2 linked regions of the Solanum lycopersicum genome follow. The main gene of each other region encodes a partner of the protein of the gene in region 2 in a complex. Links are inferred from orthologs where the notes say so. Each region holds a gene or a part of one and is shown on either strand. Other genes may lie near its edges.

Evidence for each region. Proteins that work in one complex are often made in the same cells at the same time.
Region 1: mediator of RNA polymerase II transcription subunit 9 (region 2) and mediator of RNA polymerase II transcription subunit 11 share a complex: the UniProt entries of both Arabidopsis thaliana proteins name them as parts of the mediator complex. The link is inferred for Solanum lycopersicum from reciprocal best matches to the Arabidopsis thaliana genes MED9 and AT3G01435.

What each region holds. Positions count from the first base shown.
Region 1 is NC_090803.1:5,625,740-5,629,838, forward strand, and holds the start of mediator of RNA polymerase II transcription subunit 11, read right to left. Parts: upstream 2,801-4,099; 5' UTR 2,485-2,800; exon of another isoform or gene 2,480-2,484; intron 1,192-2,479; 5' UTR 1,177-1,191; coding exon 1,123-1,176; intron 145-1,122; coding exon 28-144; intron 1-27. UniProt on the Arabidopsis thaliana protein: Component of the Mediator complex, a coactivator involved in the regulated transcription of nearly all RNA polymerase II-dependent genes.
Region 2 is NC_090801.1:55,594,564-55,606,349, forward strand, and holds mediator of RNA polymerase II transcription subunit 9, read left to right. Parts: upstream 1-5,552; 5' UTR 5,553-5,873; intron 5,874-6,968; 5' UTR 6,969-7,009; coding exon 7,010-7,366; intron 7,367-7,473; coding exon 7,474-7,536; intron 7,537-7,618; coding exon 7,619-7,699; intron 7,700-8,083; coding exon 8,084-8,142; intron 8,143-8,282; coding exon 8,283-8,340; 3' UTR 8,341-8,363; exon of another isoform or gene 8,364-8,651; intron 8,652-9,902; 3' UTR 9,903-10,424; downstream 10,425-11,786. Other genes in the region: TFAM1 (protein LIGHT-DEPENDENT SHORT HYPOCOTYLS 4), read right to left, coding at 510-1,055. UniProt on the Arabidopsis thaliana protein: Component of the Mediator complex, a coactivator involved in the regulated transcription of nearly all RNA polymerase II-dependent genes.

The sequences.
Region 1 (4,099 bases), on a different chromosome or scaffold from region 2:
GTGCAAAGAAGTAAAGTATGTCCTTACCTTGATTAGTTGCATGAACTCACTACAATGGTTGTTAATAAGCTCCTTCCTGGGGCCGCTCGGATTTGCCATTTCATCCATTACACCTCCTGCTAGCTCCAGAACTCTGACTATCCTCTGCAAGCATCAGAGGAAGATACAGCAACAGAAGGTATGAGAGTAATGTTTCAGTTACAATTTTTTCTATCAAGAAAAGTGATTACTGACTCCGCATTGAAAGTTATGATCGTGATTTACTCATCAAATTACGATTAGTTGCCTTTGCACTTGACATGCTATATCATCTCCACGTTTTTAATCTGAAGAAACCAATGACTAGGAAACAACAGAGATGCTGTTTCCGTTAGACCAGAGAAAACTCGTGTCAGTAGATATTCAGGGCATATGACAGGACGATCTCGAATACGATTTGATTTCCAACTGTTGAAGATCAGCCTGGAGTTTGTGGAAGATACTCAATGAGCCAGACAGGAAGAAAGCAACCAACAGAAGCAGAAGTTTGAAAAGCCCTTTCAGATCCTATTCTCGGTCCACAGCGTCTTTGATTTATTCATCATTGTCGTCATCTCAACACTATTCCCATCTTCATTCTCTGACTTCGAATTATATTATTTTGGCTGATTTGAGGATGGGTTGAGTTGGGTTGGGTCAGCCCATTTTGACAGTTAGGTGGGTGACATGAAATTCTTAGTCATGGTTATCTAGCCAAGCGGCTCTTGTTCTCATTCATTTCATTTGTCCGGTTGTCCCAGAAATTGAAGGATCCGGAACTCCAGAAGGCTTAGGAGAGCTCAATGGTGGAGTCCCTTACCGAGGCATAACACCATCCATATATCTTCAAGCTTGTCTATGTGTTTCACCCAATCAACGAAATATGGATTTCACCTAAATTCAAAAAGTACTCTCCTCGCTCTCTTTCTTTCTTGAAACATTTTGGTATACAGGATAGGGGAACAAGTAACAAGGACTCGGGCAAGGAAGGAATAATATTGTAGTATCAATTCTGAAATCAGAACATTAAGTATTTTGATGACAAAGAATAGCAGCTACTGAAATCAACCCATCTTAAGTCAATAATCCTGTAGAAACATTTACCTTCTCAACATTTTGCAGCCGCTGCAATGAAGTATTCTGGCTTTGCGAATCCATGTATTCTGAGGGAAGCTGTCAGGACAGGAGAAAAAGATTACTGAATTGCAATGCCGTAGAGCGATCTAGATGTGGAGAAATAAACAGAATCTATAAAACCTGATTATGTGCAGTTTTCAGAGATTTTGGTTCTGAGATCTTTGCAGTCAAATAATTAAACAATCAGAAACCTAAATCCTCTGTAATCAATCCGAAAACAGAAGAAAAACTTACATCTAATAAGTATTATGTCCATTAAACTTACCACCCTACTACACTCTTTCAAGGTACGGGTTTGGCCGAAATCAACAACTTTTCTCTGAACTCTATATTTGTCTTAAGAAATCTATTTAATATGTATAAATTATTAATTTATAAGAGATTATTTTATCCTGCGTGTAGTTGGCAAGATGCAGGATAACAATCTCATGCGATATGTTCTAAAATGTTGAGATTGGCTATTCCATATAGAAGTTGGATAGCTGATCCCACGAGAGAAATCCTTGTCTATTCCATCCCCCATACCGAACGATCAAGGACTAGAACACTGAACCCGTAAACTTCAAATCCTAGCTCCGCCTTTACCCCCAAGACCTGCTGATTATCAAACGAGCAATCCTAACATTTCACCGTCTTCCTCTAGCATTTCTGCAAAGGGGCTATTTCCTTCGACACTCAAACCCATTGCCAGACTTGATTAATCACCCCTTACTGTTCAAATGGAATCATTTCGTTTTTTGCAATTTTCTAATTGTTCAATAGTCTTATAAATTTGAATTCAATTTTTCAAATTCTATCTCGGAGTAGCCATTCACTCAACTCCGAATGAGCTCTTTCGAATCGTTCAATAGCCCTGAACCTGAGATCTGCAGTTTATTAAACAAGCAACCAGTGATAGTCTTATGTTTCTTCGCTGTTCCAAATTTGTCCTACACTCTCAAAACCTCACTAATTTCATATTCCACTTACTTCATTAACTCTTTGTCATCTTCTCTCTTCTCCATTTTTTGGAGGAATTCATCACTCATATCTCTGACTGCAGCGGCTCAACCCTAAAGCCAGCCACTAAAGCAAGCAGTGGATTTAGGACCCAAAAAAATAAGGTCCTCAAATTACAAATCCCTGAAGCTCCGAAAGAACCAAAAAGCCCCAAATTCAGCTCAAATGCACAACGATATTTCATATCATGCATGAGTGAAACAAAGCTCAGATACAAATACAAATACATATAAGACGCACAGGCACGAAATATTTTTCTTATTATTAAAAAAGGAGCCAGCGAGATGTCTGATATCGGCATCTACAAGTGAGAAGTCAATCATACCTTACCTTCAACGGCGGCTATGAGTGGCAGAAGAACGGCAGTCACCGGTGGTCGGAGATAGTCTCAGCTCCGAGTTGTTGCCTGTAATTTTTATTTTTTATTTTTATCATACAAGCATGTAATTGAATAAACATATTGCTTAAATTAACGCATATTTTTTTTAAAAAAAAACATTTTTTCAATTTTTTATTTGTTTAATATGTTATAAAGGTTTTAAAAAAGATATAGCAAACAAAAAATTCAACATAGTGTGAAATTAGGTCTTAGGCGTAACTCACACCCCAAAAGCTAGCTCAAAAGGAAACTCACACCTCAAAAGCTAGCTCAAAGGGTGGAGGATTGCTCAAGCCTTATAAGGAGTTCACTCATCTCATTAATCACCGATGTGGGACTTTTTGTCATTCTTTAACACATAGAAACTATATAATTCTCTATACATATACAGTTGAAGCAAATTGTATAAAATGAAGTGTATAAAACAAAAAATAGAAAGACACTTGGGCAGAGAACTGTATAAAAACGAAGCGTATAAAGCAAATTGCATTATTATAAGTGTATAGAACGATTATATAAAATTTGAATTTGTATAAAATGAGAAAGAGAAAGACAAAAAAGACTTGACAAGGAATATACAATTGAATAGAATTGTATAAAACGAGAAAGAGAGAAATTAGATACAATTTGAGAATTGTATAAAACGAGAAAGAGAGAAAGACAAAAGAAATTGGGCAGGGTGGTATTTTTATTGTATAATTATAATTGTATAGGACGAAAATATATGTACTTGCATGTGTATATACAATTTTCTCATGCTTTATACAAACAGAAACGCAATTTATACATTTCGCTTTTGTTTGTATAAGTGAGAAAGGCGAGGGTGGCGAGCGAGATTTGGGAGAGTGGCGAGCGAGACCTGGAAGAGGGGAGAGAGAGGAACAAAAATATATGTATTTATACAATTTTCTCTGCTTTATACAATTAGAAACAATTTTTATACACTTGTGTTTGTGTAAAAAGTGAGGAAGCGAGTGAGAGATTGGAGGAGAGTGGCGAACGAGATTTTTGGGATAGAGGCGCCTGACAATTTTTTTGCAAACGTTTACTATGAAGCATAATTAAATCAAACCCTACCTACTCTATTTATTTTAGGTTATTAGTTTGCTATATACAATTTTCCCTTTAAAAATACATTTGCTGATTAAATGAATATATACTAATCTAAAAACTATTTATTTTCAAAAACGTTTTCTTAAAACAAGTTTTTTAAAAAAACTTTTTAGCAAATTCATTTGAAAAGTGTTTTTATAAGCAATATGTGTTTGACTAATTTTTTTAAAAAGTGTTTTTATAAGCAATTTGTGTTTGAATAATTTTTTTAAAAAGTGTTTTTGAAAGTCAAATTACGAAAAAAAACAAATATCGATGTGCTTTTAATATTAAAATTATTTTATAGAGAGAAACTATTTTAAACATTTAATACATAAAATTTAATTATATTTTTAATTTAATCACTTGAAATATACATATTCAAATTTTCAATCAATATTGTAAAAAGATAAATATTGTTGAAATCTTTTTGCGAAGAAGAATATTTTTGTTATTTATTATCTATTTTTCGAA
Region 2 (11,786 bases):
TTAATATAAGCCAATTACTAATGAAGTCGCTTATAGTACGAAATATTAGTGTTTCTTAAAAGTATTCACATGTTTTTTTTTAAAACAAAATCGTGATATGAATCATATATTAGTGTTTTTTAAATATATACGCAAAGCACCTTTAAATATTTTTTTAGAAAAATCTTAATTTCCTCTCAATCTAACTCGATGCTAACTTCTACCATAACGCATGTCATGTGGTATAAAATTTCAGTGTTTAAAGAGGAATCAAACCCTTAAAAAGGAATAGTAGAACTTAATCGAGTTTCATTTTTTGTTGAATCAATTACTAAATTTTCGAAGCCTTCGCCACTACTCTAGATCAACTTTGAATTGCTCGATTGAAATATGAGATAATAAATTCAAACTCCATGGTACTCCTATTTATATACATGATATTCCAACGAGCTAATTAATTCAAATTCCAAATAATTAAAGCCATTAATTATATATAGCATCTTCATTTTTTATTTTATTTTTCTCAAACTCTAATCACAATTATTAATAGTACTACTAATCCGCTGCTTAATATTTCTTCTTTTCTTCTTCTCATAAGCAATCCCCCTCGCTTTGGCTTGCGTGTCTCTCACTTCCTTCAAATACAACCTCACTGCTCGAGCACCGAACGGATTCGTCTCCGTCCGTCCTCCGTTCTCTTCGAAAGCAGCGCGTAGCCTCCCAATTAGCGCGTCAAGGCTCCCCCACGCCTGTTTCAACGGGCAATTGCACGGCGCCGGCGGATGAGGATCGCCGAAAAACGGACAATTACAGCTGTGAACTTTCGTTTTTCCGAATTGATCTAGGTATTTTAAGAATTCTAGAATGTTCGCTCCGCTGCATCGCGCAAGTATCAGTGGTGGCTTGTGGTTTCTCAAGTACTGTCCGAATGTGTTCCAGTCTCGCCGTTTTTGTAGCTCGTAACGGCTCACCGTCGGTGGTGACGAAGGCGGCGGTAGTGGTAGTGTCGGCGCCGGCGCCGATGATAGGGAGAAGTTTTGTGAGACGGAATTAATGGTACTATATACGTCTAACATGGCTGTGTTACTTTTGTGTGGGTATTTTTTGAAGTTGTTAAGACTCGCTATATATAGGATGTAAAAGAGTGCAAATAGTTTTACTTCTTATGGGTTCATGATTTGATTCATACCACTCGCGTTAGGGTCCGGTGTACCGGATGAGGTTATTCAAAGTCTCGAATATGAATTTTGGAATTAAAAAAATTATTGATAAGAAGTAGTCGAGTGTTGTTTTTGAATGAAATATAAATTGTATTAATCGAATTCTAATATAAATATAGAAAATAAAAAATAAATTCACTTATCTCATTTAGCTTTTCATTCGGCATCAAGCGGCGTCTAATAGATTCTGTTAATAGAAAGGATATTTGATCCTATAATTTGATGAGAAGACCATATTTAAGTCGAAATATAGTTTAAGGATATATTTTGAGCTATGTATTATTTCGAACAGTTTAAAGATATTTTTAACCCTTTTTGTAGAAAAAATAATTTCCAGAGAAAATATCTCAATTACTTGGGGCTAATTTTGGTATGTTGCGATAAAATTTAGTACAATTTTGTCTCTTGTGTAGTTATTGATTGTAAAAATAAATATATATGAAGGCAAATAATTAGTATCAAGATAAGTTATTTTATTTATAGTAGAATAACATTAGCAAAAATAGTTTTTCGGGTATAAAATAACAAAAATGTCAAAAACATTTTCCAACTAAATAAGGTAAAGGGATATTATTGTAAACAAATCAAATCATTAATAAATAATAATAACAAGATATTTATTTTTTTTAAGCTCTTTATTTCTTTTTTACTCCACAAGTAAAGTTCGTGTATAAGTGTGAATAAATTAAATATATTGTGATTTGGTTCAGAAGATCAAATTATTTAACGTTTAATGTGTAAATTTCCAGAACTTACAAATAAAACTTTGAATTATAGTCTACCTAGTTATGATGGTATTATAACGTGGTAGTAGTATTTATTTCATTAGATCCAATAAATAGCAAAGATTGTTATGCAATATTACCACATAAATTATTATTTAAAGAATTTTAGAAATTCTAATTTTCTTGTACTCATAAAATAAGAAGTAGAAATAGTGAAGGGAGAGTTGCTAGACCATTTATAGGAAAATGTAATGGCCCATAGAGAAGGAACAAAAGAAGATAATGAGACCAATATGAGTTATAATAATATAGTGATATGTATTGTTGAAATATCATCTCGAATTAACACTCATGCTTTAATATGTGCTTCGAACACTCGACTAATTTATTTTATGAAAACAAAATATATGGAAGGATGGGGCCCAAAGAGTGAGGACAAATTAAAGTAATATCACTTCAACTAGTCATGTCAAATGTAACTTCAATTGTTGTCTTATCAGTTTCACCCTTCCTTTTATCCGTGTGACAGTGGGTTAACTTGTATTGACCATTGGAATGTTTCGTGTGGCCGGTAACTTTTTTGTTTCCTCCCTTTGCCTTTTTTATTTTTTATTTTTAACTTTTAGGTGCCACTAGAATTTAGAGCAAATAACAAAACTTGATCCTCTCTACATCTAACGATAACAATAGTTTATTTAAATTAATTTCATATAGTGAAATTCAAAATAAAGTGATGTATACAAATTTTATTTTTATCTCAATATTTCTGACTAGGTAACTTTTTATTTTATAATATATAATTATTGGTAGTATTCATTGTTGGCCTCAGTACGCAGAGTATGTTGTCTTGGTTTTAATCAACATGACTCTTTAGACATCAAAAGTTGTCTTTGAACTTCCAACTTAGTATCAAAAATCACTATGAGTCTATCCGATCAAAATTATCTCATTGGTGAGGCGGAGCTACCGGTATGGAAGGGTGGTCAGCGATCACTGAGTTTTGGCCAAAAATATTTTTTAACTATATGTCAAACTTAAATTATAGCCCTAAAATATCATTTTTAGCAGATAACTATATTCAAAATTAAACTATATCTTTAAAGTATCATTTTCAGCAGAAAACATCCTTTAAGTATTTTTACGTGAACAATTTTCATCCTTTTGTTAGATATTGTCAAAAGATTAAGGGATCTTACGAAAACATGAGCAATTAATGTGACTATCAACAAATTTTATTATGCATAATTTCATTAAATCTACAATAAATTCTTGAAAATATAAAAAATCTTAGACACTGTTGCTTATGAAAACTATAAATGATTAGAAGGTGTGAGCGTACATGATTTGCCTTTTGCGCAACAGAAAGAAGTTGGAGATTAATTATTTTTATCTTTTTCTTAACCAATTAAATTATTAGATTTTTGGGTCAATCTAATATCGAAGTGACCAAAATATTGATTATGTCTTGTATTTGAGTTTCATTCTACATTATTTGAAGGGGAAGTCTCCAAAAAATGTCGCTTCTAGCATATTTAATTGAGAAGAAACTATTTAAATTAATAATATTTTAAATTAAAATTATATGAAAAATGAATGAAAAAGACGGTCAAATTAAAAGATTTTGCATAATTCTTAACTCAATTAAGAAAAAGTTCGCGATAATATTCTTGGCATATATAAGAATAACAATTAGGAAGGGACGGCTTATTTTTTGAGGGATATATCAATTAAGGATGAAAATTATTTACTTTAAAATACTTTAAGGATGTTTTATGATAAGAATATACTTTAAGGCTGTAATTTGAGTTTGAGGTATAGTTTAATGATGATTTTGGCTAAAATTTCAAAATAATTAATCTCCAACCTTTTTCAATTACGGAAAAGGCGAATCATGTACGCTCACACCTTTCAATCATTTTTAATTTCCATAAGCAACAATGTCTAAGATTTTTTATATTTTTCAAGAACTTCTTGTAGAAAATAATGAAATTATACATAATAACTTTTGTTGATAGTCGCGTTAACTGCTCATGTTTTTGTAAGATCCCTTAGTTTTTGACAATATCTAACAAAAGGATGAAAGTTGTTCACTTACAAATACTTAAAGGATGTTTTCTGCTAAAAATGATACTTTAAGAATGTAGCTTAAATTTGGGGTATAGATAAATGATGTTTTATGCTAAAAATAATAATTTAAGGATGTAGTTTAGATTTCGGGTATAGTTAAAAAATGTTTTTGGCCAAATTATACCCTATATATAAATAAAATGCTATATAATATTGCGATATATAATTAATTGAACACCTATGACAAAGTCTATTGGTCTGCTGGTAAGCATGTTCATTTACGTGCAAGAGGTCCTCAGTTGCAACATGTTTTTTAAAACATAAAACACACTCTCTTTTCAATTATGTGTAAGAGATCTGTATTAAGTGACTTATTAGGTATACACATTCTCAAGATTTTATTTTAAAGAAAAAATTAAAGATTATTATTTATTATTATACTTTTGAGTATTTCTAAAGTATCTTTCTATTTAGAAAAAGTAAAATAGTTAAGAATTTGAAAATAGGAGAAAAAAACTCATCATAATCGTGAAAGTCACTCTCAAAAGGCTCATCATAGCCCTTTTTGTGACTCGACTCAAGCTCATCATACATTATTCGATATTTGAACTATTCAGTTATTTAAATTACAAAAAACACTCGACAATTTATTTCATATGAACTAGAGGGAGTATATTTCAAGCAAAAATTATTTTGTGACTTTTGTCCATTAGTTTTGATTTATTCCATCGATAGTTTTATCATTTTAAATTTCCGCAAGATTTAGTTACTAAGTGATGTGTAATTTAATTTCTCACACATTTGCAAAAATAAATTTTGTGTACCCACTTCGCTAAAAAAATTATCGACTCTTTTAAAGTTTGAACAACCTCGGCGAAATTTCTGGCTCCGCCACTATTTGGCGAGTAACATACTCATCATACACTTTCTTGGATATATCGCGTTAATTCATTCATCATCAAGATAAATGATTTTGATCTAAAAGTTGATGTCTGGTGCAACCTCTTCATAGTGGAAAAGTGCTTTTTTTTCTTCTAGGTCTTGACTCCTTCATACATGTCCTTGATCTTCTAAATATACGTCATAGAGTCTGGCATTAATACATACATTTTATGAACCCTAAACACCCAAAGGGACCTCCAAAAAAATTTGGTGTGTGTTTTATAGAGGGTCCCTTTTAGTGTTTAGGGTTTAAAAAGTGTCCGTTTTGATATCAGACTTCTACATACCTCCAATTTCCAAACATCTCCAAAAAACCTCCTTCAAGACTCTGTCTAAAAAACTTTCCAATCAATGAACATCATATGCAAGTTTTTCTATTTGACTGTACTTATTTATCAATCTCTTTATAATGACTTTTGAATACATGTGAAACATGCTTAGATATCAAGTGTATAGAATAAATTATATCTAATTTTGACTCATATGTATCTATTTTGTAAAGTTCTAAGAGAAAATATAATTAGAAAGTATAGTTTCAACCGATAAATAACACAAATGTAAATGTGTGTTTTGTGTTGTTTCCTCTTAATTTAAATACAATTCATTCAAATTTGAATGCACTAGTGATCTACTTTTTTATTAGTTCAATCTATTTCAGTTTGTTAAAATATTAGTTCATATATAAATCAAATCGGTTAATGAAAAGTGAGTTTTATGTATTTTGAATTAGTATTTTAATTATTAAAAATTATCTATTTTTTTTTAATACATACTAAATTTTATACTATAGAAAATGTTAAAATTTCTAAATTAGCTTGTTTGCTCTTGAAATCGAAACCTCCCCACAAATTGGGACAGCGGGAGTAATTTCAATTTTGCTATTTGAAAAAACAGAGGATTTTCCGTTGGGGTTTAACCGGATCGGGCCTTTTCATCTCCGGTAATCTTTCTCGTTTTGTAATTCTCATCGTACTTCTGCTTTGTTATTAACTGTACTAGTTGTGGTTTCAGTAAAGTTTAGCTTCGTATAGTTGTGAATTCATTCTCTTGTGGCGGCTTAAATCAAGGGTTTGGTTGTCAGTGTTATAGCAAACGAAGATTCTGTTCAGAAGATTTAGAGTTCTTTTTTGTTGGAAATTTTGAGGTTGTGATTTTGACCTAAAACTGTTAATTTCATAGATAGAGAGATATTTGTATGTTAGTAATAGGGAACCTCTAGGGTTATGAAAACCTAAATTATTGAATATTGGAATAGATGGGGTTCTAATGGAGAGAATTCATATAGTAAACCCAAACTAATTCGGGATTGAGGCATACTTCTTGATTACTGAGCTAAATTAGAGATAAAGAGTAAGAGGTGCAGTTGGGATTGATTCATTTCTCACTTTAATAACTATCTAATTTTACAGTTTTAGGTTTTGTAAACTTTTTTAGTGCATACTAATAACTATCTACCCTTTTGGTTTGCTTGGGATTGCTAGCTCCTTAGCTTTAGTTTAGGATACTTGTATGAGTGCTGAGATTTTTTTTATGCCCTTCCGAATTAGAGCTAAGCGGTCGCATATTTTGTAATCTGGCATCTACCCGATGCCCATTCAAGGATAATTTTTAACCTTATCAAAAAGACATAGTTGCAGCAGTAATTTTTTCCGATGTACCTATTGATTTAACAATGTGAACACCAAATTTATACAGATGTCATGGTAGTTTTTACTTGGAGATAAGAGTTTACTGTTTGTTAAATTTCAAAGAAGAGTTTACTGTTTGTTACGAGGGATGGGCTTCAGTTTTAGAGGGTCTCACTTGATGGCTTTGTTCTCTTTGGTACAAAAGAACTATTCTTGTAATAAGATGTGGATGAAATGTCATTTAGGAATGATGGGAAATATATTTTTGAAGTGGTTTGTACATTTCAGAATCTTAGGAATTATTTCTCTTTGCTACTCAGTCCATTAGGCCAGTTCATGCTTTGATAGTTTTGGCTATTTGTGTAGTACTTGATTACATCTGATGACATTAATTTTATCCATTTTAGAACCAAAGTACCAACAGATTTCAGCTCAACAGCCATTAGTTATGGACCACTTTGGAGGAGGAAGTTGGACAATGATCCCCAACATCCAAACTCACAGTAATCCTTCGACACCCTCCAATCAAGACAATTTATTTCTTCAGCAACAGCAATTTCAACAACAACAGTTCATTCAACCGCAGCTCTATCAGCAACAACAGCAGCAGCAGCAGCAACAACAACAACGGTATCAACAACAGATGCAACAGCAACAAATGCAGCAGCAGCAACAGATGCAGCAGCAGCAAATGCAGCAACAACAACAACAGCAGCAGCAAATGCAGCAACAACAACAACAGCAGCAGCAGCAACAACAACAACAGCACCACCAATCACTTGCCTCTCACTTCCATCTTTTACAAGTATTGGGCAAAAACCATGATCTGTAGCTTGCTATTTTAATAGAGTAACGAGACATTTCTCTTTCCTAGTGAGACCTTTTGTTCTAACTTTTATTGTCATCTTACAGCTGGTGGAGAATTTAGCTGATACAATTGAAAATGGAAATCGAGATCAGCACTCAGATGCATTGGTTTGTTCATTTCTTGATTGATGCATTATATGTTAGTTTTCCATTTCTTCTACATTAAACCGGGTGTATTTTTCCTCACCAGGTAACTGAATTGAAAAATCAGTTTGAGAAGTGCCAGCAGCTGTTGACATCAATATCAGGGTCTATTAGCTCAAGATCTATGGTATTTCATTTTCACACATATCCTTTGATTTCTGTTGTAACTTGTTCTGAACACACCCCCAACTCAAAAAATAAAAAGAAAAAAGAGAGAGACTCCAACAAAGAGTTAAGCGCAATAATATGAAAACAGAACTTCAAAATTATTCTTTTCTGGAAGAGTTGGATTGTTTTTCTTTTGGCAGTGTTATTGCTTTTAATTGTGCTTTTCCATTTGGGCCTGTTTGTTCAACTTATAGTTGTGAAGAATTTTACTGAAAAGTGGGGTTCAATATGTTTGAAACGATGTTGACTTGAACAAAGTTGCTCCACAAATTCTTATTTGGTTGCATGTTTTGATGCTTAAATATGGGTAAGATAATTGACCAGTCCTGTGTTCTTTGGACAGACAGTTGAGGGACAAAAGCGCAAAAAGGCAGAGTGCGAACAAATGCTAAATCAGCGAAGGTTTGTATTATATATATATAAAACACACACACACACACATATATATATGTGTGTGTGTGTGTGTTTCTAATATTGTCTACTGAAATTTGTATAATTATTATTTGCTTCATCTGATGGTCATGTTTCATGCTTAATTACAGGGATCTTATTTCGAGGTACAAAGGCTCAGTTGAGGAGATTATTAACTCTGAACTATAGCTCATACTCGCATTTTAACCAAGGTAAAATTATGCGCTGCAAGTTGTTTTTGGCCTGCCCAAAAGAAGTTGAGTTGAATCACCTGTCATTTTGATTTTACTAGATGCAAGTGAAACAACTATGCAGTGTTCTGGATGCAGTCAATTTGTAGTTTGTTGTAATACATGAGAATAAAGTGCTCATGAGAAATTTTTATTGATGTTACTGTTGTAATCACTATGGCGCTCGCCACAAATGACTGCTCTGACTGTACTGAGAACATAAAATGTTTTGGGCCAAGGTTATGATAAAGTAATGCATTGCCTTCTTAACTGACTGATTGTATTTAAATCTAATTACATCAAAGTGAAGCAAATAATTGAAGTAACGGTGCTACCCGGGCTCTAGTCAGGCACCTGGATAGCTGATTGTTCAGTTTAATACTTGACTAGAAATAGTCTAAGCATTTAAAGTAATTTAAGTAGCCTGGAGAGTTGATCTTTCCATATATGGACTTTGAGGGCATCCGGGAGTGATCTATGTTACATATCACGTACATCGAGAACTTCCCGAAGACATGGCTTTAGAAAAATGTATGTTTGCCTAAGTTGTTGGGAGATTTGATTTGCTTAAAGATTAATATTTTTGTTACCTTATGTATTTTTTTGAGTTGAATTCAATGCTACATAGAATTCAAATCAGCATTAGGAACTTCACAAATAAGTTGGACATCGCTAGCTATCGAAATATCTAAGTTATTATTTGCATCATTCATAATCTATTCTCAGAAATCGTTAAATATTCATTTAAAGTGCACTTTAACTCTGAAGCTAGGTGAAGTCCGAGTTGGGCGCTTTGCCTTGCTTAATTGACACCTTGGCTCAGGCATCAAGTAGCTAAATAGTGTCCTTGTCATTTTTAGGAAGTTAGACTATAGAGTAAATGTCAACTTAGTTGACGGATTGATACAAAATGCTGTTTTATATATTCTTAATCGTTACGAATAAGAAACTAGAAATTAGAAATACGAAACTAGAAAAGAAGAATAGTTAGTGAAGACTTACAACTGAATTACATCCAAATTAGAAATTCAGTTTCACTTAATCATAGTAGTTCTGTTAAGTTTTCTATCCAAATGATTAGTGTAGTATTATTTTTTGTGTAGTTATTTTTCCTTGCTCTACATATATATTTTTAATATTATTCATCAGTGTTTTTCTTTGCATATGACCTCACTTAAGCTTTTCCTCTCAAGTCCCAACAGATTTTGGTGCTTTTCTACGCGTTTCACCTATAATATCTCTCGATAGTTTCAAATGGAGTATTCCTCTAGTAGCTGGCTCAAATTCTTATTTCAGGATATATTTTGTAATCCATGCTGGATCTGCATACCATCTACTGAAGTAAAACATCTTGAGTCACTAAAATTCCTCTATGCTGGTTCTGAGATCTTGCCATTTTTCTGTTTATATATGTGACAGAACTTGGCTAAAGTGAAATATGAAACATTATCAACAATGATATGACGAAACTTTATTGAACATCTGAATTTTCCCATCTGATGAAACTTTTTCTTGGCACAGGTAAAACACACTAGCAAACTTCTCCGAGCATTAGCATCATCATTGTCATGAGGAATTTGCAGAAGAACATTAAATTCGAGCTAGCGATGATGAATCCTCGAGACTCCATCATCAGATATGTCTTTATCATGTATTTCCTACAAAACCTATTTAGTGTTTTAACCTTGTTTGGATGCAAATGATTGCATCTTCCGCCATTTATTTCTATGAGACTAGACATCTAGAACTGTTTCCTTTTTTGACCTGTTGACTGCCTTAGCTCTATTACAATCATCAAACCTTAATTGGAGTTTGCTGGTACCAATGGTTAGGAAGAGCTACTACACTAGGAAGGCGGCCAAGATAGATGACCTACACACAAAAATTAAATAATTCGTATCGGCATTTATATCAAATCTCTGTATGTATTTGAATGTTCGTTTATAATTGTAAGATGAATGTCATTGATTTGAGCAAATAACAGTCGTTAGAATGGGATTGTTAACTGTGATTTGAATCAAATACTATGAATTACTAATACTATATGCTTTGTGGTCCTTAAAATAGAACAATAATTTATGGTATTATTTAGAGGGTATTGATACTTACCCACCTCAACTACACGAAAACATAATTTCTTTGTACAATTTGACGTCATTTAATTTTAGGTATTAGCACTTTTGACTTCTGTACGAGTGAGAGGAAAAAATAATTCTCTTACCCAAAAAATGCCACATTTTATTAAAGCTTGAAAAGAAAAATTTCGTTGAACTCTTATTTTGGAAAAAGGGTTAAAAAAAATGTCTTTAAACTGTGTGAAAGGAACAAAAACGCTGTTAATTCTTTGGCGCACAAATGCTCTTACTGTCAATACTTTAGTTCAAAAATGCCCTTGCAGTCAATAATACTTTGGTCCATAAATGCCCCAATAGTTACAAAATGAGTCGAAAATGCTTTTTTTCAAATAAATATATTATTATTTTTCTTTTTAAACATATCTTCTTCCTAATTAAAATATTATTAAAGAACACTATTCTTGTTTCTTTCTTCTAAAATCACTTTGACAAATAAAAATGGTTGGAAATATTCTTTTTCTTCTAAGTCTCATTTCATCAATTAAATGGAATAATTTCATGTATCCTTTTGATAAATAATATATGCCATATATATAAATTGATAGTATATCTATCACTAATTTATATTTATATAATAATAAAAAATATTGATGGTAAAATAAAATTTGTTTCATTTTTTTTTTTGAAATAAAGTAAGATAAACATTTGCTATTTTTTTAAAAAAATTAATTGAAAAAAATGTGTCAAAAAGAAAATAATACAATATTTATTTGGAAACTAATTTTTTTGACTCATTAAATAACAATAAGGGCATTTTTGGATCGAAATATTAATGACGAGTATTTTTGGACCAAAATACAAACGAGACATTTTTATTCTTTTTGCGCAATTTAAAGATATTTTTAAATTAAATTATTGACGATAAAGACATTTTTAAGCCAAACTATAAACAAAAGAGAGAATAAACAAAAGAGAGAAGAGAGTACTGTTGCAAAGCAAGTTAAGTTTAAATATAATTCAAAAGCATAAGCTAGGCATTTAATAATTAGTGCTTAAAAATCAAGTAAGGAATGGAATTTTCTTTTTGTTTTTCTCTGCTTTTTTCTTTTGGGTTTAAATAAATATAATAATATTACATTTATGTTTTTTTCCAGCTAATATAAAAATAGAAATTCAAGTAATTTAATGTCATTAATGGAATTTCGGTTGCAGTCAGATATGCTCATAAATTAGTATGTGATGAATCTCGTGAACCTTTCATTTTCAAAAAATTTCCCTCCTTTCACCTCAAAATCAAATCAGTTTTTCGAAAATCGAAAGAATAAGAAGC